2 linked regions of the Callithrix jacchus genome follow. The protein of the gene in region 1 binds, or shares a complex with, the protein of each later gene. Links are inferred from orthologs where the notes say so. Each region holds a gene or a part of one and is shown in the gene's direction. Other genes may lie near its edges. The genes, in order: GCC2 and RAB6A.

Region 1 (15,423 bases):
GAATGGACAAACAAATTGTCATACATCCATACCATGAATATTACTTAGCAATAAAAAGGAACAAATTATCGATAAATGCAGCAATTTGGATAAATTTCAAAGGCAATATGCTGAGTGGAAGAAGCTGGTCTCAAAAGGTTCATACTGTTTATTTCCATTTACATTATATTCATGAAAGGACAAAAGTATAGTGATAAAAAAAACAGTTCATGGTTGCCAGGAATTGGGGATGGAAGGAGAATGTGGCTATAACAGACTAGTATGAGGGAGTCAGGGAGAAAGTAGAGCTTTTCTGAAACTTGATTGTGCTGATGGGTACATGTTTCTAAGTGTATTAAAATTCAAGGAACTGTATGCTAAAGGAAAATCCATTCTACTACATGTTAATTGAAAAAATAAAAGATGGGGAAAACTACAGTTTTGAAAATGTTAATTTTTTAAAAGACCAAGAAAAACTGTGTAAGTGCTCCAGAAAAAGGAGCCTGAAGAGACAAGACAAATGTAATACCTGATCCCAGACTGGATTCCATACCAGAAAGGAAAAAAATGCTATAACATCATTTGTATCACCAGATAGAACAATTACCCTGAAGTTTCAGCTTTAAGCTTACTCAAAACCTGGGGAAAAATTAACTAGTGATCTTAAGTTTTGTTCCTTGATCCTTTAATACATTAATTGGTTCAATTAAATATTCATGGAATGCCTGCTATATAAAACGCAATATATCATACTTGATGTAGAAATCCCTCTTTTCCTCTTACGCTGCTCAAAGTCTTGAGTTTTAACAATACTATCTGTGGAAATCATTTATCCACTCTTCTTAATTAAGTTCAGGAGCATATGCAGGTTACATAGGTAAGTATATGTCATGGCAGCTGTACTAATTACTTCATCACTCAGGTATTAAGCCTAGTATTCATTAGTTATTTTTCCTGATCCTCTCCCTCCTCCCACCCTCGAACCCCTCCATTAGGCCCACTGTGTGTTGTTCCCCTCTATATGTCAATTTGTTCTCATCATTTAGCTCCCGCTTATAATTGAGAACATGTGGTATTGGTTTTCTGTTCTTGCATTAGTTTGCTGAGGATAATGGCCTCCAGCTTCATTCATGTCCCCACAAAGAACAAGATCTTGTTTCTTTTAATAGCTGCATAGTATTCAATGGTGTGTATGTACACCATTTTCTTTATCCAGTCTATCATTGATGGGCATTTAGGTTGATTCCATGTCTTTGCAATTCTGAATAGTGCTGCAATGAACATACATGTGCATGTATGTCTTTATGCATGTCTTTATGACAGGACAATTCCTTTTCCTTTGGGTATGTACCCAGTAATGGGATTGCTGGTCAAATGGCATTTGTTTTTATATCTTTGAAGAATCACCACACTGTCTTCCATAATGGTTGAACTACCATCAATAGTATATAAGCATTCCTTTTTCTCCACAACCTTGCCAGCATCTGTTATTTTTTTACTTAATAATGGTCATTCTACCTGGATAGTATCTCACTGTGATTTTGATTTGCATTTCTCTAATGATCAATGATGTTGAGCTTTTTTTTCAGGTTTGTTGGACATATGTCTGTCTTGTTTTGAGAAGTGTCTTTTCATGTCTTGCCCACTTTTGAATAGGTTGTTTTTATCATGTAAATTTGTTTAAGTTTGTTATAGATGCTGGATATTAGACCTTTGTCAGATGCATAGTTTGCAAAAATTTTCTCCCATTCTGTAGGTTGTCTGTTTACTCTGTTGATAGTTTCTTCTGCTATATAGAAGCTCTTAATTGGATCTCATTTGTCAATGTTTGCTTTTCACCTTGCAATTGTTTTTGGCGTCTTTGTCGTCAAATCTTTGCCCATTCCTATATCCTGAATAGTACTGCCTAGGTGGTCTTCCAGGATTTCTATAGTTTTGGGTTTTACATTTAAGTCTTTAATTCATCTTGAGTTAGTTTTTTTACATAGTGTAAGAAAGGGGTCCAGTTCAATCTTCTGCCTATGGCTAGCCAGTTATCCCACCACCATTTATTGACTAGGAAATCCTTTCCCCATTGCTTGTTTTCATCAGGTATGTTGAAGATCAGATAGTTGTAGGTATATGGTCTTATTTCTGTTCCATTGGTCAATGTGTCTGCTCTTGTACCGGTGCCATGCTATATTGGTTACTGTAGCCCTGCAGTATAGTTTGAAGTCAGGTAGCATGATGCTTCCAGCTTTAATCTTTTTGCTTAGGATTGCATTGGCTATTTGGGCTCTTTTTTCGTTCCATATGTATTTTAAAATATCTTTCTCTAATTATGTGAAGAATGTAAATGGTAGTTTCATAGAAATAGCATTGAATCTATAAATTGCTTTGGGCAGTATGGTCATTTCAATGGTATTAATTCTTCCTATCCATGAACATGGGATATTTTTTCATTTGTTTGTGTCGTCTCTGATTTCTTCGAGCAGTGGTAGTTCTCCTTGTAGAGCTCTTTCCCTTCCCTTGTTAGCTGTATTCCTAGGCACTTTATTCTTTTTGAGGCAATTGTGAATGAGTTTGTGATTTGGCTCTCAGCTTGACTGTTGTCAATGTATAGGAATGCTAGCAATTTTTGCATATTGATTTTGTATCATGAGACTGCTCTGGTTGCTTATCAGCTTAAGAAGCTTTTGGGCTATATCTATAGATTTTCTATATCCTATGTATAGGATTTTCTATATCCTATATCTGTTTTCTAGATATAGGATCATGGCATCTGCAAACAAGAAGTTTTCTCTCTTCCTATTTGAATGCCCTTTATTTACTTCTCTTGCCTGACTGCTGTGACCAGAACCTCCAATACCATGTTGAATAGGAGTACTGAGAGAGGGCATTCTTTTCTTGTCTTGTGCCAGTTTTTTTTTTTTTTTTTTTTTGAGATGGACTCTCACTCTGTCACCCAGGCTGGAGTGCAGTGCCGCAGTCTCAGCTCACTGCAACCTCCACCTCCTGGGTTCAAGTGAATTCTCCTGCCTCAGCCTCCCAAGTAGCTGGGACTACAGGAATGCACCACCATGCCAGGCTAATTTTGCATTTTTAGTAGAGACACAGTTTCGCCATGTTGGCCAGGCTGATTTCGAACTCCTGACCTCAAGTGATCTGCCCACCTTGGCCTCCCTAAGTGCTGGGATTATAGGCGTGAGCCACCGCACCCAGTCTTTTGACAGATTTCAAGAAGAATGCTTCTTTAATAGCAAGTGCTGCCATAAAATTTTGGTGGCTCTTAGATCTTTTCTTCTAAAATGTTGTCTGAGGTAATTTTTCTACTCTAGTATCAAAGTTGCCCATTTTATACCATTGCACAGTGTCCAGAATTATGAACATTTTCTCTAGTCATCTCATTACAGAGAGATATTTTTTTCTTCAAGTTGGATAACTCTTCCTCCCAAAAGATGTGTACACTCTTACAAGTAACAGCAAAACCCAGTGTTAACTGGATCACTTAAAGGGACTTTACTGACTCACTGATAATTGATCAGAGCTCCAGCTTCATTCCTCTGGGGATGTCTGGGCTCTGCATTTTTCCTTTTTTTTTTTTGCTTTGTTTTGAGACAGTCTCTCGCTGTTGCCCAGGCTGCAGTGCAGTGGCGGCATCTTGGCTCACTGCCTCCGCCTCCTGGGTTCAAGCAATTCTCCTGCCTCAGCCTCCCGAGTAGCTGGGACTACAGGCGTTCACCACCACACCCAGCTACTTTTTTTGTATTTTTAGTAGAGACATGGTTTCACCGTGTTGGCCAGGATGGTCTGGATCCCCTGACCTCGTGATCCGCCCTCCTTGGCCTCCCAAAGTGTTGGGATTACAGGCGTGAGCCACTGTGCCTGGCCCTTTTTCTTCTTAACAATTTTGTCTTCAGGCTGCTTTCTACCATAGGGGCAGATGTCTACCAACAGCAATCAGGGCTGTATGTTTCCTCAATCACATCCACAGAGACAGAATTATCACTAAACCAAAATACTAAACAGAAGTTTCAAAACTTCTGACTGTACATCTTAGGTCACATACCACCCCTGAACCAAAGACAGTCAAACACCATGGGTGATACACTGTCAAAGACAAAGAGTAGATGTTAGCGAAATGTCAGCAATAGCTGTGCTTTCTCGTTTGGTTATATAACACTTCCTTTACCTAGTAATAATCAGCTACCATTTATTGGATAAGTACTGTATGCTGCCTCTTCATCCGTTTGGCCATTTCAAACTACAGGAAACTGGGTTATCTTCAGGTGACCTTAGCTATTGGAGTATATGGAAAACCTTAATGGGAAGGTAAAAGTGCAGTAAACCATTTCAGCAGTTCACAGAAAGGCCCTCAGAGCTCTGGACCGCCAATCAGGACACAGCAGCAGCCCTGGGATTCGACTACAGATTCTTCGGCGTGCCCTCGGGGCAGAGTCTCCTCGCTTGGCTTCCCTGTTCCCTGGCCGACTATCTTGCCTCCACCAGGTCACCATCAGTACCGGGTAGCTGCAGGGAAGAGCTGTCCCAGGACCTCCTCAAGGCATCCAGAGCCAATAAATACCTCCTCAGGGAAGCCCCCCAACTCTGACCTGTGAGTCGGGGCGCTCCCGGGCAACATGCTAGCCACAAATGCTTAAGCAGCCCCCCGGAAGCAGCTGTGGGTCCCGCAAGCACTGGCAGGCCAGCAGCTACCCTTGGAGGGGGGCGCTGAAGGAGCTGTCCTCCAATCGAATGTTCTCCTGACTCTCACAAGATTTTACAGACGTGGAAACTGAGGCCCGAGGCCCCAAGGGGTAATCGGCCTGCGTTCCCATGCTAATAAAAGGTAGTGGCGTGACCCACACCTACTCCCTGACCCGCAGGCCCAGACAGGGTCTAGACGCAGGTGGAATGTCGACAAGGACTCCGCCCTCGGCTAGCGCCCGGAGGGGAACCTTCTCCCGGACCCAGAGGCGGAAGCGGAACTGCTGCCGAGCCGTAGTTATGGAGACATGGGGGGCGGGCCGACCGGAGAGCGCGACCTTTGACCTGCAGTCGAGCCTACGTCAGAGTCGGGCGCAAACAAGTGTGGCGGTGGCGGCTGCTGGTTCTGGGGCCGCGGCTGGCAGGCGGAGATGGAGGTAACAGTTCGGGCCCACTGCCTCCCATCAAGCCTTCTGCGCGGCGATTTGGGATTTGGGGGTGGGCCCGGTGGAACGGCGCGGCAGTCTCCCGCTCGGTGCCCGGAAATCCGCGCTGCCTTCGCCTCCCCATCTTCCCTAAACTCCATCCCTGGCGGTTACCTGTCCCCTTAGAGCCGGTTTGTATACGATTTCCCACAGCGATCGCCTCTGTCCCCCCTCATTCTCTGTCTCACAAGGCTTTCCCCCACTTGATTGCACAGAGGGTTTTTCCTAATTCCAGACGGAAAGCGTGGAAACCTTACCACGCTTTCCGTCTGGAATTAGGAAAAGAGTTCTTCTGACACCTGGGTTTGATTTTGTTTTGCAGGATCCTGTTCAAGATGGGGTGGCTTCACCAGCTACCCCTGGGACCGGAAAATCTAAGGTGAAGAGAATACTTGACTAGAGGACTCCCTGAAGAGTGTGGAAGGGTGATGAATTGGAAAACTTTGGCGGGCGGAGGGAGGGGGCTATTTTAAAAAAAAATAGCCTTGCTGTAAGGGATCTCAATTTTAATTTACGCAGTCACCCGTCCATTTCCTGTTTCTTTCTTTTTCCCCTCTGTGCCTTGATATAAGAAGACTTTTTGTTTACTTCCTGCTCCTGGTTAGTACTGCTGAAAGATCCTGCGATTTTTCGGACATTAAACAAAGCTGTCTAATTTAAGAAGGTTTATATAGTGATGATGTAGTAGAAGGAGCAGTGACGTAGAATAGGAATCAAGGGATTCTGATCTGTAGGCTCCAGTTTCTACATTGTGAAAAAGAGTTGAATTAGTCCTGTTTTATGGCCCTGTACAATGTTTAACATTCAATCATTCTGAACGATAGTGGTTTATTGCTAAGGTTTATCGTCTGCATGCTGAATTTCAGGCACTTGCCTAACCACTCAGTGCATTTAAGCCTTCATGATAACCATGAGATAGGTACTGTTGTTACCCTCACTTTACAAATGAGAAACCCTGAGACCACAAGACTTAAGCTATTTTCTCAAGTGGTAAAGCTTAATTTTTTAATTAAAGGCTGAATGTTACTGGATCATCTTGATGCTGTAATTATGCTGAAATTTTCTTGTGACCAAAGACTTTCAGCCTCGAATAGCATGAAATTATTTTACAGCTCCAAGGAATTTTAAGTAGCATTAGTTCTAACCCACTAATTTTACAGTTAAAGAAATCAAAACCTAGCAAATGTCAACCTGTAACATTAGCTCTAAGAGGATATGCCCTGGTTTTTACATTTCATAGTAGTTGCATAACTAATTTTTACATTTTTAGTAGTTGCTTGGCAATTATGTACTTGCAATTGCATTTGCTAATTTTAAAAAATGTGACCGGGAGCCATGGCTTAAACCTGTAATCTCGGCACTTTGGGAGGCTGAGACGGGTGGATCACCTGAGGTCAGGAGTTCAAGACCAGCCTGGCCAACATGGTGAAACCCCCATCTCTACTAAAAATACAAAAATTAGCTGGGCCTGGTAGTAGGGCCTGTAATCCCAGCTATTCGGGAGGCTGAGGCAGGAGAATCGCTTGCACCTGGGAGGCGGAGGTTGCCGTGAACCAAGATCGTGTATTGCACTCCAGCCTGGGAAATAGAGTACATCCGTCTCAAAAAAAAAAAATGTGGAACAGGCCGGGCGCGGTGGCTCACGCCTGTAATCCCAGCACTTTGAGAGGCCAGGGCGGGTGGATCACGAGGTCAACTGATGGAGACCATCCTGGTCAACGTGGTGAAACCCCGTCTCTATTAAAAATACAAAAAATTAGCTGGGCATGGTGGTACGTGCCTGTAATCCCAGCTACTCAGGAGGCTGAGGCAGAAGAATTGCCTGAACCCAGGAGGCGGAGGTTGCGGTGAGCCGAGATCGCGCCACCGCACTCCAGCCTGGGTAACAAGAGCGAAACCCCGTCTCAAAAAAACAAACAAACAAACAAAAAATGTGGAACAAAGTATGTTGTTGGCGTAAAGATTTATTCAGTAGAATGTTTTTGTTTTCTGGCAGACATTATGTTTCTTTTTTGTGGTGTACTAGGAACATGAGTTATAACAAGTTGGTAACACGACCACATCTTTCAGCTGGAAACATTGCCCAAAGAAGATCTCATCAAGTTTGCCAAGAAGCAGATGATGCTAATACAGAAAGCTAAATCAAGGTGTACAGGTATTGGGTTGAAAATACTCATCTTGATCACAGTCTCTTTAATTGTGGTTTAAAATGGTGGTTTTTAAAATAATGCATTGACTTTTTTGTTTGTTTTCCAGTGATTCAAATATATCTTAGTGTAGTAGAATCTGTTATTTAACGTTGTAACTATTTACCTCTGAGTTTTAAGTTATTCCCACATCTGTAAACCACAGTGACTTTTGTGTTATTAAAATAAAGTCAGGGAGGAGGATTTTAAAAGTTTTTGTAAGTTAAGCGTGTTTTTCCTTCCTGTAGACTTTAGATTCTTCTGAGTAAAACTTTTTTTCAAGAGAAGTCAGTTGAAAAAAGAGACACAAGATTAGAACCCCAAAGAGATAAAAGGCTTCCTCAACTAAAATAATAAAAGATTTCCATTTGCAGACATTGGTTGATTGATTTCCTATTCGGTTTTCTTTTTCTTTTCTTTCTTTTTTTTTTTTGAAGAGATGGAGCCTAGCTCTGTTGCCCAGGCTGGATTGCAGTGACGCGATCTCAGCTTACTGCAACCCTTGCTTCCCAGGTTGAAACAATTCTCCTGCCTCAGCCTCCGGAGTAACTTGGATTACAGGCACATGCCACCACGCCCAGCTTATTCTTTTGTGTTTTAGTATAGTTGGGGTTTCATGTGTTGCCCAGGCTGGTCTCGAACTCCTGAACTCAGGCAATTCACCCGCCTTGGCCTCGCAAAGTGCTAGGATTGCAGGTGGGAGCCACCGGGGCTGTCTCAGTTTTCTTTTTATTCCAGAAGAAAAAGATTTTAGTATCTTTTTTTTTAGTATGTATACATGAACTCTTGAATTTCCAATGACTTACAAATGTTAACTGCTTAGCCTAAAAGCAAAGACTTATTTTCTATTAGAAAAGATAATATTATGTCTTGGGAGTTTGGATCACCTTGTGAGGAAGAGAGAGTAATTTATTTGGAAAGAAGTTCTAGGCCTGACATCTGTACATGTGCTAATAAAACACTTAGATTAACATTTATTCTTTTTTTTTTTTTTTTTGAGACAGAGTCTCGCTCTTACCGCCGAGGCTAGAGTGCAGTGGCGCAATCTAGGCTCACTGCATCCTCCCCCTCCCAGATTCAAGTGATTCTTCTGCCTCAGCCTCCCAAGTCTTCCCGAGTAGCTGGGATTACAGGTGCCCGCCACCATGCCTGGCTAATTTTTGTATTTTTAGTAGAGACAAAGTTTCACCATGTTGGCCAGGCTGTTCTCAGTAACGTTTATTCTTAATACGGGATTGTTGCTTTAAGGTTATATATTAAGATGTACTTACATGAAATAATATGATGTCTGGGGTATGCTTGAAAATTATCAGGATGGATAAGAAAAGCAGTGAAGGAGGAAGTGAGTTACAGGTTGGGAGGAAACAAAATTGGCCGTGTAATAATGCTAAAGCATAGTGGTGAGTACACAGAGATTAATCATACTATTCTCTGTACTTTTCTATTTGTTTGAAGTTTTCCAGAAAAGAAAAGAAAAAAATAATATTATGTGGGTGAAAATACTTTTTCAAAATATCTGCTTAAATTTATTCTAATTTGCAGATGTCTGGGATTTTATAAGAATGTACTTAATCAGTTTCTCAGTAATTATTTTCTTTATTTCTGAACTGGAGTCCTTTATTTTTTAATTGTTTAGAATTGGAGAAAGAAATTGAAGAACTCAAATCAAAACCTGTTACTCAAGGAACTGATGATATTATTAAGGTAATTATTACTTAGAGAAAATGTCTACAGAGAAAAAATTTCCATGAAGATTGTCAGCCTACTGGAGGCTATCTGGCTTTCTGTCCATGTTCTTCCACTTCCTCTCTGCCTTGGTTGTTTTTACCTATCTGATTTACTGTAAAAAGAGTGGGTTAATGACCTCTAGGTCTCTTTCTGTTCTGAAATTATTATTTGTTCTTCCCACATATTTTCTAATTATGGTTGTTACTTCATTCTCTGTCTGTTCTTCCCTATCCCCCTGAGAAAACCTGGCCATGCTCAGGATTTCAGTGATTTTATGTGTATTGTATATAATAATCTATAGTTAGATCCATATCCCTGGACATGACTACAACTACTGACCCAGATCTCACAGTTGTGTTTCTAGCTGCCTAGAGAATAAATTCCTCACACATTTCACATATCTCATCAAACTCAACATAACCAAATTGCTTAGTTAGACCAGTGGCACCATGGGGTTTTGTAAGTTTTGACTTTAGAGACACTTTTTGTCTATTTTCTTTCTCCTCTATATGTATCAGTCACCAGAGACCTATTACTGCTTTAAAATATTGTTCCAGTTTCTCTGTTTTCTCTCTGTTTGGCTTTATGTTAAACACATCAAACACTTCACCTATTTTACTAAAAGCCTAACTGGGCTCTCTTTCTCTTTTAGTCTTACATAATCTTGCCAGATAACAAAATACTCTTTTTATTCCCTGTTTAAAAACCTGAGTTGCAGGCCAGGCGCAGTGGCCCACATCTGTAATCCCAGCACTTTGGGAGGCCAAGGTGGGAGGATCACTTGAGGTCAGGAGTTTGATATCAGTCTGGCCAACATGGTGACACCTTGTCTCTTAAAAACACAAAGTTTAGCTGGGTATGATGGCCCACGCCTGAAATCCCAGCTACTCAGGAGGCTGAGGAACAAGGATTGCTTGAACCCAGAGGCAGAGGTTACAGTGAGTTGAGATTCCCCCTTGCACTTGCACTCCAACCTAGGCAGCAGCATAAGACTGTCTCAAAAAAAAAAAACCTGACTTGCTTATTCTTACTTCCATTCCCTTACTGGTAACAAATGCTTTTTCATTACCCCTCTTAGGCCAAGCCTCCATAAAGTTTCTTTTGCATCTTGGAGCTCTGCAATATTGTTTTCACTGCTTTGGCCTTATATCCTTTGGTTATATATTATCTTATTTTCTCATCAGCGGCTCCCAACTTGTAATCAGTGGACTACAGAGTGACTACCAGAGAGTTATTACACGGGGTCTTTAAATCCATATGCATGTCACACAGTATCATTTTATGGCACAAATGCCATTTCAGTTTATAGTGTACTGTTTCAATTAAGTATTATTGAATTCAGAGTAGTCTTATTCGATTATTTGGTCATTACATGTTTTCTTAATCCATGACAGCCACATTACAACTATATGGTAATTAAAGAAGAAGGCCAATTTCACCCAGACTGCCTGAGTCAGGCTTTCAAATCCTTGTCCCTCCACTGACCAGCTATCTGACCGTGACTAAGTTTCATAAATTCTTTCTCTATGGTTCAGTTTTGTCATCTGTAGAATACAGATGATAATACTTTCTGTTTGTAGGATTGAGGTACAAATATAGGATTGATAAGGTTACAGCACATAGAACTGGGTTGGCCATATAAGTGCCCAATAATTGTTATTATCATTACCATGTGTTATTTCTGGGGGTCTTTTTTTTTAATTTTTTTGAGACAGGGTCTCTCTCTTTCACCCAGGCTGGAGTGCAGTGGTATGATCTCTGCTCACTGCAACTTCTGCCTCCTGAATTCAAGTGATTCTCCTGCCTCAGCCTCCTGAATAGCTGGGATTAAAGGTGCCTGCCACCATGCCTGGCTAATTTTTGTATTTTTAATAGAGACGATGTTTCGCCATGTTGGCCAGGCTGGTTTTGAACTCCTGACCTCAGTTGATCCACCCGCCTTAGCCTCCCAAAGTGCTGGGATTACAGGTATAGGCCACTGTGCCCGGCCTGGGGGATATTTTTATAAACACCAACGTAGGCAAGGACACACACTCGGAAAAGGGGCCTTTTCTTTTAAAAAGAATCAGAGTGTTTTCTAATTTTTTATCCATTAACTCTGGATACTTGTTACAGAACTGCATTTCAGAATAAGAACATTTAAATATCTACCTGCTGTTTTCCTCCTTAATCCTTATCAATGCATTCTCCCACTGTCAAAACTACCCCTAAAGACAAGATTAGAAAATTTCAGTCAGGCACTGTGGCTCATGCCTGTAATCTCAGTACTTTGGGAGGCCGAGGTGGATGGATCACCTGAGGTCAGGAATTGGAGATCAACCTGGCCAACTTGGTAAAACCTGTCTCTACTAAAAATACAAAAAATTAGCTGGGCATGGTGGCGGCGTGTACCTGTAGCCCCAGCTACTGAGGAGGCTGAGGCAGGAGAATTGCTTGAACCTGGGAGACGGAGGTTGCAGTGAGCCAGGATTATGCTACTTCACTACAGTCTGGGCAACAGAGTGAGACTTTGTCTCACACACACACAAAAAAAGAAAATTTCTCCAAGTTAGCCAACTTTACCTTTAAGGTTTTTTTTTTCTTTTCCTTTGTTTTCTTGATACATTATATTTGTACATAATTGTTGGGTACATGTGAAATTTTGTTAAATGCGAAGAATGTATAATCATCAAGTCAGTATTTAGTATCCATCACCCAAGTATTTACCATATATATGTGTTGGGTACATTTAAGGTCTTCTGGCTATTTTGAAAAATACCTTTCTCTGCCTTACTTATTTTACTCGACATAATGACCTCCAGCTCCATCCGTATTGCTGGAAATGACATCTCACTCTTTTTTATGGCCATACAGTATTCCATTGTATATATATATATAGCACATTTTCTTTATCCATTCATCCTTTGATGGGCACTTAGGTTGATTTCATTTCTTTGCTATTGTGAATAGTGCTGCAATAAACATAGGAGTGCATATATTCCTTTGTTATATTGATCTCTTTTTGGTAACTGCCCAGTATTGGGGTTTCTAGATTTGTAGGGTAGCTCTATTTTTAGTTTTTTGAGAAATTCGAAAATGTTTTCCACAGTGGCTAATACTTAACTGCACTTCTACCAACAGTGTAGAAGAGTTCTCTCTCCTCCACATCACCACCAATGTCTGTTACTTTTTTTCTTCCTAATGGCCATTCCATCTGGAGTAAGATGATACCTCATTGTGATTTTGATTTGCATATCCCTGATGATTAATGATATTGAGTATTTTATCATATACTTGGCCATTTCTGTGTCTTTTGAGAGATGTCTAGTCATGTCCTTTGCCCATTTTTTAATGGGATTCTTTATTTTATTTTATTTTTTTTTTTTGAGACGGAGTTTCGCTCTTGTTACCCAGGCTGGAGTGCAATGGCGCGATCTCGGCTCACCGCAACCTCCGCCTCCTGGGTTCAGGCAATTCTCCTGCCTCAGCCTCCCGAGTAGCTGGGATTACAGGCATGTGCCACCATGCCCAGCTAATTTTTTGTATTTTTAGTAGAGACGGGGTTTCACCACGTTGACCAGGATGGTCTCGATATCTTGACCTCGTGATCCACCCGCCTCGGCCTCCCAAAGTGCTGGGATTACAGGCTTGAGCCACCGCGCCCGGCCCGGGATTCTTTATTTTTTAATGTTGAGTTGTTTGAGTTCCTTGTATATTCTGGATATTAGTCCCATGTTGGATGAGTAGATTGCAAATATTTGTCCCATTTAAGAGGCTATCTTCACGCTATTGATTGTTTCTTTCACTATGCAGAAGAAGCTCTTTAGCCTGTAATCCCAGCATTAAGGGAATCCATGGCAGGAGGATCACTTGAGCCCGGCAGTTTGCGACCAGGCTGAGAAACATAGCAAGATCCGTCTATGAGAAAAACTATAAAAATTAGCCAGACATCGTGGAGCGCGCCTGTAGTCCCAGCTTCTTGGGACACTACGACAAGACAATGGGATCCCAGGAGGTTGAGCTGCCGTAAGCCATGATCACACTACTGTACTGCAGCCTGATTGACAGAGGGAGCCCTTATCTAAAAATATATATATTAAGAAGCTTTCTAGTTTAACATAGTCCTATTTATCTGTTTTTTGTTTTTGTTGCCTGGGCTTTTGAGATCTTGGCCATAAAATCTTTGCCTAGACCAATGTCTTGATGAGTTTGCCCTTTGTTTTCTTCTACTAGTTTTATACCTTTGTGGGTCTTATATTTAAGTCTTTATTTTTTTAGTTGATATTTGTATATGATGAGAGATACGGACCCACTTTCATTCTTTGCACATAGTTATCTAGTTTTCCTGGCACCATTTGTGCCTTTGCCCAGTGTGTGTTCTTAATGGCTTTGTCAAAGATAAGCTTTCTGTAAATACCTGGATTTATTTTTGAGTTCTCTGTTTTGTTCCATTGATCTGTATGCTTGTTTTTACACCAATACTTTGTTATTTTGGTTACTATAGCCTTGTAATATGTTTTGAAGTCAAGTAGTGTGATGCCTCCAGCTTTGTTTATTTTTTAACTCAATTACTTCAGCTGTTCTGGCTTATGTTTGGTTTCATATAAATATTAAGATTCTTTTTTCTATTTCTGTGAAAAATGGTATTGGCATTTTAATAGAGATTTCATTGAACTGTCAATTACTTTGGGTAGTATGGTCATTTTGACAATGTCAATTCTTGTAATCTATGAGCATGAAATGTCTTCCCACTTACTTATTGCCTCTTCATTTTTTTTTTCCTGTGTTTCTGTAGTTTTTATTATAGAGACCTTTCACTTTGGTTTTTGCTTTTTTTTTTTTTTTTTTTAGCTACTGTGAAAGGGGTTGTCTTCTTGATTTCCTGTTTTAGCTATTTTATTGTTGGTATATAGAAATGCTACTGGTTTTTGTATGTTGAGTTTGTATCTGGCAACTTTACTGAATTTGTTTATCAGCTCTAAGAGGTTTTTTGATAGTCTTTTGTAATCTGTAGAGAGGGACAATTTAACTTCCATTTTTCCAGTTTGGATGCCTTTTATTTCTTTCTCTGGCCTGATGGTTCTGGCTAGGACTGTCAGTACCATGTTGAATAGTAGTGGTGAAAGTGGATATCTTTGTCTTGTTTCTGTTCTTTGAGGAAAGATTTTCAGCTTTTCTCCATTATGTATGATGTTAATACGAGTTTGTCATATGTGGCCTTTATTATTTTGAGATATAATTCTTCAGTGCCTAGCTTGCTCAGAGTTTTTTCCTGAAAGGATATTGAATTTTATGAATTCCTTTTTCTGCTTCTATTAAGATGACCATATGCCTTTTACCCTTTATTCTGTTGATGTGATATGTCATATTGATTTGCATGTATTCAACAATCCTTGCATCCATGGAATAAATCTGCTTGATCATGGTGTATTATCTTTTCAGTGTGCTTTTAGATTCGATTCAGTTTGCTACTATTTTGTGGAGGATTTTTGCATTGGTGTTCATAAGGGATATTGGTTGTAGTTTTCTTTTTTTGCTGTGTTCTTATCTGGTGTTGGTATCAGGCAGGGCTTAGTGGGAAGTGACTGGACCATGGGGGTGGACTTACCCCTTGCTGTTCTCGTGATAGTGAGTTCTTGTGAGATCTGGTTGTTTAAAACCGTATAGCATTTCCCCCTTCGCTCTTCCAGCCAGGTAAGACATGACTCCTTCCTCTTTGCCTTCTGCCATGATTGTAAGTTTTCTGAGGTCTCCCCAGCCATGCTTCCTGTACAGCCTGAAGAACGATGAGCCAATTAAATTTTTTTTCCTTGTAAATTACCTAGTCTCAGTTCTTTATAGCAGTGCAAGATCAGACTAATACACTTTGGCTGGGAGTTTTTCTTTCAGCACTTTGAGCATATCATTCTTTTATCTCCAGTGAATATATTCTATTTTCTCTGGGTCTCTAAGCTTCCTACCAAGAAATCTACTGTTAATCTGATGGGGGTTCCTTTATAGGTGACTAGATGCTTTTCTCTTTGCTGTTTTTAGAATTCTCTTTACCTTTAATTTATGACAGTTAACTATAAATGTGTCATGGAGAATACCTTTTCGCATTGTATTTGTTTGGGGATACCTCGGCCTCCTATATCTGGATGTTTACCTCTTTTGCTAGACTTCATGAGTTTTCATGTATTACTTTATAAATCGTTTTCTCTTTGCTTCCTTCCTTCCTTTTTTCTCTTTTTTTGTCTTTCTTTCTTTCTTGTTTTGCTCTTGTTGCCCAGGCTGGAGTGCAATGGCGCAATCTTCGCTCACTGCAACCTCCTTCTCCCAGGTTCAGGCGATCCTGCCTCAGCCTCCCAGGCAGCTGGGTTTACAGCTGTCCTCCACCATGA
Region 2 (15,534 bases), on another chromosome or scaffold:
TCTTCACTTCTTGCCTCCATTTCTTCATTTCAAATTTATTCCTAGATCCAAATCTGGCTTCTTGTCTCATTACTTCATTGAAACTTTTCAGACCCAGGCCACCAATAACCCTCTTGAAACTACTGTTTTGGCCCAGTGCAGTGGCTTACTCCTGTAATCCCCATACACTGGGAGGCAGAGGCAGGAGGATTGCTTGAGTACAGGAATTCAAGACCAGCCTGGACAATGTAGCAAAACCCTGTCTCTACTGAAAATACAGAAAATTAGCCAGGTGTGGTGGCTCATACCTGTAGTTCCAGCTACTCAGGAGGCCGAGGTGGGAGAATCACCTGAGCCTGGGAGGTCAAGGTTGTAGTGAGCTGAGATCATGCTACTGCACTCCAGCCTAGGGATCCAGAGTGACACCCTGTCACACACACAAAAAAAGAGCCGTGCAAGGTGGCTTATGCCTGTAATCCCAGCATTTTAGGAGGCTGAGGTGGGCAGATCACCTGAGGTCAGAAGTTCTAGACCAGCCTGGCCAACATGGTGAAACCCCATCTCTACTTAAAATACAAAAATTAGCTGGGCATGGTGGCAGGTGTCTGTAATCCCAGGTATTTGGGAGGCTGAGGCAGGAGACTTTCTTGAACCCGGGAGGCAGAGGTTGCAATGAGCTGAGACCATGCCATTACACTACAGCCTGGGCAACAAGAGCAAAAAACTTTGTCTCAAAAAAAAAAAAAAAGAGGAATAACCCTCTTTTGAGGTATTACATTCCACAAAAGTCATTCATTTTAAGCATACAGTTCAGCAATTTTTAGTTAATGTGCAGAATTGTGTAATCATCAACATAGTATAATTTTTAGAACATTTCTATCACCCTAAAAAGATTCTTTGTCCCCATTTGCAGTCACTCACCTTTGACAGTAGGATGCTTTTTAGTCTTTGACTTTTTTGACTGCTCTGATGTATCTGACTCCACTGACTAAGCCTTTCCTTTTGAAACATTCTCTTCCCTTGTCTTTCTTGTCACCACTCCCTCTCCTGGTTTTCTACCTAACTTTCTAGCATTTATTTCTCTTCACAGCTTACTTTTTTAATATTTTTTTGAGATGAAGTCTCGCTCTGTTGCCCAGGCTGGAGTGATATGGTGCAATCTTGGCTCACTGCAACCTCCACCTCCTGGGTTCCAAATTCTTCTGCCTCAGCCTCCCAAGTAGTTGGGACTACAGGCACATGCCATCACGCCAGGCTAATTTTTGTATTTTTAGTAGAGACAGTGTTTCACATATTGGCCAGGCAGGTCTCAAACTTCTGACCTCATGATCCATCCACCTCAGCCTCCCAAAGCCTCCCAAAGTGCTAGGATTACAGGCGTGAGCCACTGTGCCCAGCCCAGAAAGGGATGGGTTTAAATCTGTTGTCTATACAGTCATTAATACAATTCCCTCGTTTTTGTCCTTGCTTTATCCCTACCTTATGTGGTACTTGATATTTCACATTCCTGAGCAGAATTTCTGCAGTTCTTCTTAGCTGATTGGCTTGCTTCTTGTGACTTCATCCTTCAGTAAGCACTTTATATGTTTTGTTTAGTCAGATACCATTGCCCTATCTTTGTCTCCCATCTTAAAATGTTATGGCTCTGGGTTAGAGATGTCAAAGACAGAGTTTGCATTTTAATTTCTTTATTCTCATTTTGGAATGATTTCAGAAAGGGAAGACAGAACATCTTTAATCTAGCTTCCTAAAACTGGAAGTGAGTTTGTTTTCCCAAAATATCCAGTGAGATGATGTCGGGGCTTATTATCTCACTGGATATTTTGAGCGACAATTTCTATAATTATTTTGATATCTTTAATTTTATATAAAATAAAGTCCTAGTCACTTTTTGTTAATTGAAAAGCTGAAGAAATATTTGCAGAAAGATAGTTTCTCTTGGCTTCTTTGGCAAGTTACAGTTTGGCTATGCATTCTGTTGGTATTTCAGTGCAAACAGTGTTGGTCTCACTTTTCTATCCTAAGATGCTCTGTTCTTTATATAAACAGCAGTAGAGGCAGTTGTTCTCTTCTTCTCTGAGTGATTATCACTTTAGTAGCAGGTGGAGTGATTCATTCTCTGGAACATCTTGGAGGAGACTTTATTATTTGTGGGGGATAGAGTGTGGGGAGAGGAGAGCTCCAGCAATGTGTCAGATTTTATACATCCTGGACTAGCATAAAAAGAAGCAAGTTCTTCCCCCACTGCAATTTCAAAGCCTGGAAGTAACACCACACTTACAAGGCTCTGAGAAATCACATTATTCATAACGGGGACCATGATTCACATGAACAGAACAAAATGGAATTATCAAAAATAGATTCGGTAGATCAATCTGTAGCAAAAATATCTTCTGACTTAGCTATTAATTGGCTGTAATTACAGAAAGGACCATTCCATTTAAGTTCTACCACCTTCTCCACTTTGACAGACTAATTTTTATTCTTGAATGGCATGTCCTTATAGGTCAAAGTATTTGGAAAACAGGTTTTAACATGACTCCTTCCCCCTTTTTTCTTGTGGTCTTTTAAAAATGAGACTTATGGGCTGGGCATTGTGGCTCATGCCTGTAATCCCAGCACTTTGGGAGTTTGAGGCAGGTGGATCACGAGGTCAGGCGTTCAAGACTAGCCTGGCTAACATGGTGAAAACCCATCTCTAGTAAAAATACAAAAATTGGCCAGACCTGGTGGTGTACACCTGTAATCCTAGCTACTCAGGAGGCTGAGGCAGGAGAATTACTTGAACCTGGGATGCAGAGGTTGCAGTGAGCTGAGATTGCAACACTGGACTCCAGCCTGGGTGACAGAGCGAGACTCTGACTCAAAAAAAAAAAAAAAAAAGAGACTTAATTCAATATACCTTGTGTTAATTGTACTCATTTAATTGGTCACCGTGAATTGTCACTTTTATGCTTTGTATATTGACCCACTATTATTTTTAGTAGCAATGATTATAATAACCTGCAGTGTGGGTTAGAAGGGATTCCATTTGATGGAATGTGAATTCCTGCCAGAGCTATTATTTGTTTCAAATGTGAGCAGTATGGTTTCAGTCCTTTTACCTGGACAGTTTTTCTCCTATTGATTTCCTGCCTCTCCAACATAATAAATCCCTTTTTAGGGAGTAGTAAACAGAAAAAGGCAATTCCAGTTTGCTAACTACTACTTTATATATACACATACAATATTGAGTGCCTAATATTCAAGCAACTATGCAAGGTATTTTAAGGGATCTAAAGATGAGAATGTCAGCTGCTTTCAGCTGCAAGTAGTAACAAAGAAATACAAAGACACATAAAGGCATTATTAAATATAAAGACATTTATTATGTTAGTAAAAAGAAATCTAGAAGAAGGCCAGTTCCAGGGTTGGTACAGTGGCTCAATGATGTCTTTTAGCTTCCTGCTTAGCCATCATCAATGGATTGGCTTTTTTCTTTAGAATTATATATTAATGTTTAGAAGAGCTATCTTAGTTCTAAATATCATTTCCTTACATAGCCACATCAATGGCAGAAAAATGGCAGTCTTTTTCTCATTCCTTTTCATCAAGGAAGAAAATATATTTCTCTTTATTTCTTCTCTTAGAAGAAAAAAGCCTCTAACACATTTCCTTCATCTCCCACTGGCTCAGATGGACTCATGTACCTATACCTTAGCTGAAGGAAGGCTGGAAACATATCTGTTATCTCTAGTATATATGGTAGAAGTATGTGTGTGTGTTGTGTGTACATTGCTGGATATGCAACCAATAGTGTCTGTCACTAAGAATAAGATGAAATTGGCTGGAAGCAGTGGCTCATGTCTGTAATTTTAGAACTTTGGGAAGCAAAGGCAGGCGGATCACTTGAGGTCAGGAGTTTGAGACCAGCCTGGCCAACATGGTGAAACCCTGTCTCTTCTAAAAATACAAAAATTAGCCAGACATGGTGGCACATTTCTTTAATCCCAGCTACTCAGGAGGCAGAGGCAGCAGAATCTCTTGAACCCAGGAGGTAGAGGTTGTAGTGAGCCAAGATCATCCCACTGTACTCCAGCCTGGACAACAGAGTAGGACTCTATCTCCAAAAAAAATTAAGAAAGAAATTTCAGTCCTTCTTTAAGAAGCTTTGTGTTGCTCAGGGCAGAAGATAAGCTACAATTTTATTATAATTTCTATGTGATACATTTCCTACACAGTCATGGGCTTCAATTTAGATATCACCTTTAAATTGATAATGAAAGCTGCTTTAGGTACTTTGAATTTGGAGCTGTGAAGCCTGTCCTCTCCCATTGTTCCTAATTTTTAGTTACAAGATCTGTTCTGGCCATCTTTTTCATAAATAATGTTTTAGGAATGAAGTACCAAATTACATATTTTTGGGTGATGCTCTCTTTTTCCAAAATGCTTTTTTTTTGAGACGGAGTTTCACTGTTGTTACCCAGACTGGAGTGCTATGTCACGATCTCGGCTCACCGCAACCTCTGCCTTCCGGGTTCAAGCAATTCTCCTGCCTCAGCCTCCTGAGTAGCTGGGACTACAGGCGCGCACCACAATGCCCAGGTAATTTTTTTATTTTTAGTAGAGACGGGGTTTCACCTTGTTGACCAGGATGGTCTCGATCTCTTGACCTCGTGATCCACCTGCCTCGGCCTCCCAAAGTGCTGGGATTACAGGCTTGAGTCACCGCGCCCGGCCCTCAAAATGCTCTTAACTTCCTTCTCTGCATGCCCAAATCCCATTTATCCTTCCAAGAGAGTGAAAAATAATTCCTCTTTTATTTTTTCAGCAAACATCTGCTGCATGCTAACTATGTAGTAAGCACTATTCAAGCACTGGGGATACAAGATGAGATCTGACCTCATGGAGCTTACAGTCAAGGAGGGACAACTGACAATGAACAATTAAGAATAGGGTACAATAGGACAGGCAAAGGTACTTATACTGTCAGTGGGGATGTGAGCAGATGGGAGCAAGACTTGTAGCGTAGACTGAATGTTTGTGTCTCCCTAAAATTCATATGTTGAAACCATAGTCTCCAATGTGATGGTATTAGTAGGTGGGGCCTTAGGGAGGTGATTAGGTCATGAGGGTGGAGCACTCATAAATGGGATTAGTTCCCTTGTAAGAGGGACCCCAGAGAGCTTTCTTGATCTCTTTCTGCCATGTGAGGACACAGTGAGAAGATGGTTGTCTATGAACCAGGAAGTGGGCCTTCACCAGACACCGTATCCTCTGGCACCTTGCTCTTGAACTTTCCTGTCTCCAGCTGAGAGAAATAAGTGTTTGCTGTTTAAGCCAACCAGTAATGGTATTCTGTTATAGCAGCCAGAATGGATAAAGACAACTTCTTTAAGTGGTAAGTGATTTAAAAGAAAAAAAAGACAATTTTTTTGTTTTGAGAGGGAGTCTCACTCTGTTGCCAGGCTGGAGTGCAGTGGTGTGATCTTGGCTCACTGCAACCTCCACCTCCCAGGTTCAAGTGATTCTATTGCCTCAGCCTTCCGAGTAGCTGGGATTATAGGCACACACTGCCATACTCGGCTAACTATTGTATTTTTAGTAGAGTTGGAGTTTCACCACATTGGCCAGGATGGTCTTGAGCTTCTGACCTTGTGATCCACCTGCCTTGACTTCCAAAGTGCTGGGATTACAGGCGTGAGCCACCATGCCTGGCTAAAAAAAAAAGACGATTTCTTTAAACTGAAGGATAAGTAGGAATTGGGGAAGAGTGGGGAAGGGAAGGGAAGAGTGTTTGTGGTAAAGAGAAGCGAGTGTAGGAAATCATGAAGGTGAAAATTCTCTTGAAAAGGACCTCTCTAATTCCTCTCTCTTTTTTTTTTCCTTAGGCCCTTCTCTGTCTGAAAATTCCTCTTTCTCTTAGGTAATTTTTCCATTTGCTATACCTTATAGCACTTAATATGCAATGGTTAGGCCATAAAGTCTCTGAAGACAAAACTTACAAGGAGTGCGTGATAAATATGAAGGCAGCTTCAGAGTCTAATGAGACTGTATATGTGTCAATGCAAAATGAAAGCTTAAAACATTAAAATATTTTAGGTAAGAGGTGGACTATACCATATGGCCTTCAAAATGACAGGGAATAGTACCACCTGTCTAGGTGACTACAGAGACCTAAGCAGCAGGGAGGACTGATTCATAAAGTTCTGTAGGAAGTACAAAGTAATTATAGTTCCAATCCTCAGATGTTACTTTAAAGTCTATTTCAGGAAACATAATGAAAGCTTGGTACCCATCAGAAGGAAAATAGCTACTCACTTTTGTTTGCATAAGCTTTTTAAAAAGTTTCTTTGTTTAAACTGTTCTTTGTATGTGCCAGGGTCTGGATTAATGGTGAAGAGGACTCTATTAGACCTGACAAACTGCTTGTAAAATCAAATGTCCATGCCACAAGTTAGGTTTTTACCATTTTTCTTTAGATGCATATTCTACCTGCACGTGTCTGGCAGAGGAAACAGAAGGGAGTAAATTTTGATAGTGAGTGTTTGAGGATAGAGCTGTTGTCTTGATAGGCTAGAACAGATGATATTTTAAGAACTTCAGTTCCTCCCCGTGATTTATTCTAGGTCAGCAATTCATCCTTGGGTCTGAGAAGGCACTTTTTTGATCCTGTCATTTCTACAGCTAAGCAAATAACTACCCAGTAATGAGAAAATGTACATAAATGTTTTTGTGAATTATATAAGATACTATATACAAATGTAAGGACTTTTTTTTTCTTCACTTGGCAATTTTTTTTTTTTTTTTTTTTTTTTTTTTTTTTTTTTAAGACAGGGACTTGTTCTGTAGCCCAGATTTCAGTGTAGTGGTCACATACTACAGACTCCAAATCCTGGACTCAAGCAATCCTTCTGCCTCAGCTTCCTGAGTAGCTGGAACTACAGGCGTGCACCACGACATTCGGCTAATTATTTTATTTTTTGTAGAGATAGTGTTTTGCTTCGTTCCCCAGCCTGGTCTCGAATTCCTGGGCTCAAGCAATTCTATCGCCTCGGCCTCCCAAAATGCTGGGATTACAGGCGTGAGCCATCGCGCCAGGCAGCTTTATGGATTTTGCAAGTCATTTTCTACCTCTAGGCTTTGGTTTCCTCATCTGCAAAATTGGGAGGCCCTGATTCTGACAGTTATAAAATTCCTGGAAGCAATGGAAAAGAATGTTATTTAGTACGATGCCGTGTGAGGAATTATGATAAGGTGGAGAAGGTGGGGTGTGTGCAGGGGTGAAGGACAGATCTGAGGACTGTGGGGCCGGCTGAGGGTTCGGGAAAGAGGCTCCTATTACAAATCTTATGGCTATAGGACCCACTCACACTTTTTGAGGTATCATTCCACCTTAGTCCCGGCCCCGCCTCAGCCTCACCTTTCTTTCGCTTCCGCCCCATCTCTTCCCCTCCCCTTCACTCACTTCTTTTTCCCTCTCCTCTGGCTGAGAAGTGCCACACTTCGTATGGCCGCCACCGTGCTCCGCTTTCCATTTCTCGAGGGCTGCGCGCGCTCTCATGCCGCACCTCACTCGCGTGTCGGCCCGCCCTCAGCCCCTTCCGATTGGCTTAATATGTAAGTGACGTAAGGGCTTCATCTACCCGCTAACTTATCCCTGGTTTGCCCCGCCTCCTCCTGGCTTCTGATGCGAGTGGAAACCTAACCTGCCCCGCCGCCGCCTCACGGGAGGAAGGCGTCGAAACCAGGAAGGCGATGGCGATGGCGATGGCGGTGGCGGTGGCGCGCGCGCACGCACGCACGCACGCACGCACGCACGCACGCCAGCGGCCGGCGGGGCAGCAGGCTCGCGCCCGGGCTCGCCCCGCGCCGCGCCAGAGGCTCGCGCACTCAGCAGGTTGGGCTGCGGCGGCGGCGGCAGCTGTGGAAGCTGAGGTGCTGCGCGTGAGAGGTCCCAGACACGTCTGCGGTTCCGGCTCCGCCACCTTCCGCCACTCTCACCCAGGTCTCGGAGCCGGGTGCTGAAGGAGGGAACGGCCCTAGCCTTGGGAAGCCAGAGCACACCCCTGGCTCCTGCTGACACCGCCCTCCTTCCCTTCCCAGCCGCGGGCCTCGCTCAGTGCTAGGCGACTCTGCGGGGAGGCGGCGGCTGCCAGTCTGTGGAGAGTCCTGCTGCCCTCCAGCCCTGCTCCTCCGTCGGGCCCTGCAGGGGCCGAGAGATCTCGGCGCCCGCCCTTCCGCTCGCCTTTTTCGTCAGCGGGTTGGAGCATCGTCGGTCCGGGAGGTCTCTGGGCTGAGGCGGCGGCAGCTCCTCTGGTTCCACCATGTCCGCAGGAGGAGACTTCGGGAATCCACTGAGGAAATTCAAGCTGGTGTTCCTGGGGGAGCAAAGCGGTGAGTGCGTGGCTCCCCCACTCCTGGCAGCTGGCCGCAGCGTCCCCGCACCGCCCCCGGTGCGGCCCTTCCGTCCGCGGAGGCTTCCTGCTCGCCTCGCGTCCGCGCTCGTTGCCACCGCAGCCCTTCCCGAAGTGCCCGCCGGTGCCATCAGCCCTCCGCCTGGATCCGTCGGTCGAGTTTTTACCCTCTTCCCCGGGCTCTTCGATCGTCTCCGTTCTCCGCAGGCCGGCCATCTCCGGTCGATCTGCCCTCCCTCCGCAGCCCTCACCCCGCCCAGCCTCTTGTCCATCCCTTTCTTCCTCCGGTCTCCGCCGTCTCCCCTACCCCGGCCTTCTTTCTTGAGCCCCACCCTTATTCTTTGCCCTTTTCCCAGTTCCTCGGCTCTGTGAGGCCCATTCAGGGAAGCTCCACTCCTGAGAGCGGGCCCTCTTCAACCTTGGCCAAGGAGGGTGGGATCTGGGCGTTGTTTTCCCCAGAGGCTTGGCTCTGAGAAGTACTGATGTCGTGGAAGGTGGGAAGGGGGGTGGTCGTAGAAAAAAAATATTACATGGTTTTCACCTTAGTGGGAAATTAGTCTGGAGGAAAACATCTGAATTGGAGGCGACTTGAGCATGGGGTAGTTGGGGGTGAAAGGGGTAGTGTCGGCAGAAGAGATTTTTGCCCCTTAGGTTACATTGGGCTGTGGCTTGTCGGAAAACCTCATTTTGTTTTCTTGACTTTCATCACTGACAATTCTTTTGGCAGTGTTGATTTTTCAGTCTCTGCCAGATGCTATGTCATGATCATTTTACTTGGAATTTTTCTCATCTCACCTCCCCTTTTTCTCGTTTCAACGTGAAGCAGCGTTTGAGTCTCATGGTGGTACAAATGGGAATTACTGGGGAAATGTTAATTATTCATTTCTTCTTGAGTATTTTCCAATGATAAATATATTGAGGATTCATGAGAGAGAAGACTTGGAATAACAAACATCTTTGTTTTCTCGGATTTCCTTTGGAAAATGGAGTACAGTAGGAATAGACTCATCATCTAGTTATCTGAATTCGATTTACATACGATTTGGGCTAAATGATTCTTTTATGCTTAATATTTCGTACTGTCTGATGAGTGAAATTGTTATGTCATTTACCTGGTCAGGTTATGTTATCACTGTACTTTTGTATTAGATACAGGATTCTAATTTTGTGATTGTTATTTCTACGATTACTTCGTGTAGTAATTCCAGTTTTCTGCTGTAGTATGCAAACTTGACACTCGACAATTTAGAGATGATTACCCTTCTTTGTTTTTCTCACACTTTTCATGATCATCTTTAAAATTCAGACATTGAGAGATTAGTTCTGAGTCATCAAACATTGAATTCCTACTATGTGTTTAGGTGAGGTTATAGAAAACATTAGTTATTTGTTTCGACTGGAAAGCATGTAAGTGATATAAATTCATAGATTTTATTACTACTTTGAACTACTTATTCTAATTCGTATGCCATGACAGGTTAATACTCTCGAAAAATTGCCTCCAGTTAGAACTAGGAAATAATTTTTCTTCTTTTATATGTAGATTATCCTCCCCTCCTCCCTTTTGGGAAAAAAATCCAATCTCCCTCCGTTTTGCTTATATATTTTCCTGGAGTAAGTATAAACTTGTGTCTTTAGGTGAGTAACTTGGTAGAACCTATGGAGTTGATTCTGGTCCAGCTATTATATGTCAACTTCAGGATACTTCTCAAAGATAGAGTTTTTTGGTCATTATTGATAAAAAGGATCCAAAGTGCTTATTGTGCATTCTAGGGATATTATTGTCTTCCTTAATGTTGTGATGCGCAGCTGTTTAGTTTGCATGAAAAACCCATTAATCTCCCTGTCTAAAAAGATTTTAGCATGAATGGAGAGCTTAATTTCCTATCTTCAGGTTTCCTTTGAATTTCTTATTTGTATATGTTCTAATTCATAATGAAGAGTTTTATGGCTTCTGATTTCTTACCTTGTTTAAGCCTCTACTACTCTTCCCCCTCCATTACTAAAGCTTGGTTAGATTTTTTTGTAATAGACTTTATTTTTTTGAACAGTTTTAGACTTACAGAAAAATTGAAAAGATTGCGCAGAGTTCCCATATACCCACACATCTAGTTTCCCCTCTTATTAACATCTTGCATTAGTATGGCACATTTGTTACAATTAATGAATTAATATTGGTATGTTATTATTAACTTAAGTTCATAGTTTATTCAGATTTTTAGTTTTAACCCAATGTACTTTTTCTGTTTCAGCATTCAATTCATGATATGAAGTTAATTATCTTTTGAGGTTACTATATTGCCAAGTAATGCCATTCAGTAGCTTTGACAATGAAAGATTGATCTCTGTTTTCATGGTGTCAGTGTCTATAGTTTTCTTATGTGTTAGTAGAGGTCTGTAGACTTCATGTTGTTTTGATGTAACTCTTCATGAATTGTTTATTTTTAGGTCTGTTAGAATTCCACAATCCAGCTTTCAAAGGCTATAATCTGTGGCAAAGCCTTGTTTTGTTCCTTAATAGCATTTGCCACATTTATAGTTATCTGATTTTTTGGGTGTTTATTTCCCACAAAAGAATGCAAATCCCATGAAGATAAAAACTATTACCTTTTTTGTTCATTGTATCCTCATTACCTAGCATAGTACCAGGCTCATAGTAGTTGCTCAGACATGTTGGGTGAATGAATGATGGCTGAATCTAATAATAACCAAAGCTGGTAGCCTGTATTACAGTTTTTGCCATGTTGAAGTTCACATTTTTTCCTTATACAACTGATAATTTTACAACACTTAAAACTTACATCATTTGATTGTATAGGGAAATATATCAGATACTTAAGAGAGTGGAGAAACCAATCATTTAGGGGCCCATTTGAAAAATAGGACTGACCTGAATTTTGTACTTTTTTTTTGAGTTGAGCAAAATTAGCCTTCCTTTGTTAAAGTTGTTGTTAAATTATTTGCTGTTAATATAACACATAAAAAGTATTCAAATTATATGCTCATGTATAATGATGTGCTCATGTACTCATGGAACTGATCTGAAGTTAGGTTTTATTTGGCTTATCAAAAATCTAAGATGCTAGGGTGGGCACGGTGGCTGACAGCTGTAATTCCAGCACTTTGGGAGGCCAAGGTGGATGGATCATCTGAGGCCAGGAATTCAAGACCAGCCTGGCCAACATGGTGAAATCCCGTCTCTAAAATATATATATGTATATAGGGGGGTGTGTGTGTGTGTGTGTATTTAAGATACTGTGCTCTGTAATGAAAATGAATTGTGTCAGTACATGAAGCAGATTGGATTAATGACATCAATCTTAACCTGGGTAAATTCTTTTTTTTTTTTTTCTTGAGATGGAGTTTTGCTCTTGTTACCCAGGCTGGAGTGCAATGGCGCGATATAGCCTCACCGCAACCTCCACCTCCTGGGTTCAGGCAATTCTCCTGCCTCAGCCTCCCGAGTAGCTGGGATTACAGGCACGTGCCACCATGCCCAGCTAATTTTTTGTATTTTTAGTAGAGACGGGGTTTCACCATGTTGACCAGGATGGTCTCAATCTCTTGACCTCATGATCCACCCACCTCGGCCTCCCAAACTGTTGGGATTACAGGCTTGAGCCACTGTGCCTGGCTTTAACCTTGGATAAATTCTTACAGTTTAATAAAGGAATGTTCAGCCGGGCATTCGGAATAGCTTGAATCTGGAAGGTGGAGGTTGCAGTGAGCCAAGATCTCCCCACTGCACTTCAGCTTGGGCCTCAGAGTGAGACACTCTCTTACTGTTGAATATTTCAACATTTATTTATGAGACTCTGTCTCATAAATAAATGAATAAAAGAATGTTGAAATACACAACTAAGTTTCCTTGAGAAGTCTCTTGTGTTATGACCTCTGGCTATTGTCTTGAGATGCAGAGGCACTTTTAGTAATGGCACTCAGTGGTTTACAGTAGAAAATATTATATATATATATATATATATATATATATGTTACTAATTATAAATTAGGAGATGTAATGGCAGAGAGAAGTGTATGTTAATCCTGCTACTGCTTTTTACCCTGTATATTGCCTTTTTTTCCTCACATCAATTCTGATCAAATTGCAATATGTTAGATAAGGAAAAGATATCTTACTGTTAGAGACCAGCAGTACTGACCAGTTGTTTTTCTTTTGAGACAGGATCTGGCTCTGTCACTCAGGCTGGAGTGCAGTGGTGCCATCTTGGCTCACTGCACCCTCTGCCTCCCAGGCTCAAGTGAGCCTCCCAAGTAGCCTGGACTACAGGCTAATCTTGTACGGTTTTGTGGAGATGGGGTTTTACCATGTTGCCCAGGCTGGTCTCAAACTCTTGAGCTGGAGAGATCCTCCCACCTTAGCCTCCCAAAATGCTAGGATTATAGGTGTGAGCCACCACACCCGGCCAGTACTAAACATTTTATATTGGCTAGATCGGTGGTTTTTAACTTTTTTTCCCCAAGACCTCTTTCTGCTCTTACACATTTTTGAGGATCCTAACGAACTCTTGTTAATATAGTTGTTGTTCTTCCTCCTCTTTCTTTCTTCCTCCTCCCCTTCCTCTTCCTCCTCTTCCTTCTACTCCTCCTCCTCTTGTTCTTTTCTACTTCCTCCTCTTCTTCCTCTTCCTTTTCCCTTCCTTCTCCCTTCCCTCCGCCTTCCCCTTTCCCCTTCTCCCTTCCTTCCCCCTTTCCTCTTCCTTCTTTCTTCCTCCTTCCCCCTTCTCTTTGGATGCAGTGACTGTTCACAGGGGCGATCATGGCCCACAGCAGCCTTGTCTTAAGCTCTCCTCTTGCCTCAGACTCCCTAGTAGCTGGGACTGTAGGCACATGCCACTGTGCCTGGCTTTTGTTTATGTAGTTTATATGAACATTTACTGTACTGAAAACAGAAAATTTAAAAATATTTAATAGATTAAAAATAATAGGGCTAAGTGCAGTGGCTCACGCTTATAATCCCAACACTTTGGGAGGCTGAGGCAGGCAAATCACTTGAGGCCAGGAGTTTGAGACCAGCCTAGCCAATATGGTGAAACCCCTTCTCTACTGAAAATACAAAAAAATTAGCCAGGTGTGGTAGTGGGCACCTGTAATACCAGCTGCTTGGGAGGCTGAGGCAGGAGTATCGCTTGAACCTGGGAGGCAGAGATTTCAGTAAGCTGAGATTGTGCATTTGCATTCCAGCCTGGGCAACAAGAGCGAAACCCTGTCTTGAATGAATGAATGAATAAATAAAATAATAGTAATAAACCCATTGTATGTTAACATATATATATATATAGACAGTCTCCCTCTGTTGCCATGCTGGAGTGAGTGCCTCCCAGGTTCAAGTGATTCTCATGCCTCAGCCTCCTGGGTAGCTGGGACCACAGGCACACAGCACCATGCCTGGTTAATTTTTACTTTTTTTTTTTTTAATCTATCTTTCTTGATGATGCAAAGGCAATGCCTGGTTAATTTTTTGTCTTTTTAGTAGAGACAGGGTTTTGTTGTGTTGGCCAGGCTGATCTCAAGCCCCTGGCCTCAAGTGACCTTCCTGCCTTGGCCTCCCAAAGTACTGGGATTACAGGCATGAGCCACCATGCCCAGCCTTCATATTAACATCATTTTTGAAATGAAAAATAACTATTTTCCAGACAGAGATTTAGTGAGAGTGGCATTGTTTTACATATTTGCAATCTCTGTAATACCTGACTTAATAGAAGACAATTGGATTCTCATAGCTGCTTATGCATTCAATCCTGTAATAGTACACATCATATAGGCACTGGGAAGCTCCATAATACACTGCAAGAGAATAAGAGTGAAAAAGTTATTTATTTATTTTCCTCAGAACATGCTACTTTAAATAACATCTTAATATTATGAAAATGGTTTTGACATCCAGGAGTTTGTGGACCTCCTGAAAGGTATTGGAAGATCCCAAAGGGTCAGTGGACCACTCTTTGTAAACTGCTGGGTTAGGTAATATCAAGCCAATTGTATCTCCTATTATCATGTTGCCAATTTTTCATATCTTGTTCTGAAGCCTTAAAACTAAACAGTAGAGTTAATGATTTAGAGCACTAGAGGACTAATAGAGATGGAAAGTGAATATAGGTTTCATGTTTTAGCAGTGGCTACTAACATTTGGCAGATTACTCAACATCTCTTTATGTTCCATTTTTCTTATGTATGAGATAAAGATAATAGACCTATCGTAGAGTTATTGTGAAGTTTAAACTAGTCAAATATTGCAAAACATTTAGAAGAGTGCTAGGCACATGAGAAGTGCTCAGTAAGTATTTTAATTTAACAAATGTTTATTGAAAATTGCTACAGTGTCAGGTGGTTTGGTGTCTACTCTTAAGAAATTTTCATTTTGTCAGGGAAGAAATATACAATACCAAATATTGTAGTGTATGATGAGTGCAGCTGCTTTTAAAAGTAGAGCTAAGGCTGGGTGCGGTAGCTGACACCTGTAATTCTAGCACTTAGGGAGGCCGAGGCAGGCCAATCACTTGAGGTCAGGAATTGGAGACCATTCTGGCCAACATGGTGAAACCCTGTCTCTACTAAAAATATAAAAAATTAGCTGGGCATGATGGTATAATCCCATCTACTTGGGAGGCTGAGGCAGGAGAATCACTTGAACTCGGGATGTGAAGGTTACAGTGAGCCGAGATCACTCCATTGCATCCAGCCTGGGTGACAGAGTGTGCATCTCAAAAAAAGAAAAAAAAAAGTAGAACTTAAAGCTACGTAGGAGTAATGCAAACATTGAGTTTTAGGGAAGGGACATTTACTAATAGTTTAAGCCTATTTAGTTGAAATTCTTGAATTGGAGCATTCCAAAGTTAGAGAAGACTGAGAGATCATCTAATCCATTTGTCTTAGGGTTTTAAACTGGGCCACTCTTTATTTTTCTCTACCTTCATTTTTAGTGGGTAATATAATTGCATATTTCATAAATCAAAATTATATAAGAATATATACTATGAGAAATTTTACTTATGTTCCTGTGACCCTGTTTTCTACCCTGCTTTTTTCTTTTTTTTGAGAGTTTCACTTTTATCACCCAGGCTGGGGTGTAGTGCCACAATATTGACTCACTGCAACCTCTGTGTCCTGGGTTCAAGTGATTCTCCTGCCTCAGCCTCCC

What was found.
Region 2: the proteins of GCC2 (region 1) and RAB6A are in contact, whole or in part, in a crystal structure (PDB 3BBP), measured with the Homo sapiens proteins. The link is inferred for Callithrix jacchus from reciprocal best matches to the Homo sapiens genes GCC2 and RAB6A. Residues at the interface, in NP_852118.2 of Homo sapiens: Thr1585, Ile1588, Leu1589, Glu1591, Gln1592, Leu1595, Leu1596, Glu1599, Arg1602; in NP_942599.1 of Homo sapiens: Lys15, Ile46, Gly47, Ile48, Trp67, Arg74, Phe75, Ser77, Leu78, Ser81, Tyr82, Asp85.

What each region holds. Positions count from the first base shown.
Region 1 is NC_133515.1:20,671,072-20,686,494, reverse strand, and holds the start of GCC2 (GRIP and coiled-coil domain-containing protein 2), read left to right. Parts: upstream 1-5,029; 5' UTR 5,030-5,096; coding exon 5,097-5,102; intron 5,103-5,467; exon of another isoform or gene 5,468-5,472; coding exon 5,473-5,529; intron 5,530-7,176; exon of another isoform or gene 7,177-7,220; coding exon 7,221-7,305; intron 7,306-8,340; exon of another isoform or gene 8,341-8,469; intron 8,470-8,972; coding exon 8,973-9,040; intron 9,041-12,856; exon of another isoform or gene 12,857-13,069; intron 13,070-15,423. UniProt on the Homo sapiens protein: Golgin which probably tethers transport vesicles to the trans-Golgi network (TGN) and regulates vesicular transport between the endosomes and the Golgi.
Region 2 is NC_133511.1:67,205,781-67,221,314, forward strand, and holds the start of RAB6A (ras-related protein Rab-6A), read left to right. Parts: upstream 1-7,837; 5' UTR 7,838-8,285; coding exon 8,286-8,355; intron 8,356-15,534. UniProt on the Homo sapiens protein: The small GTPases Rab are key regulators of intracellular membrane trafficking, from the formation of transport vesicles to their fusion with membranes.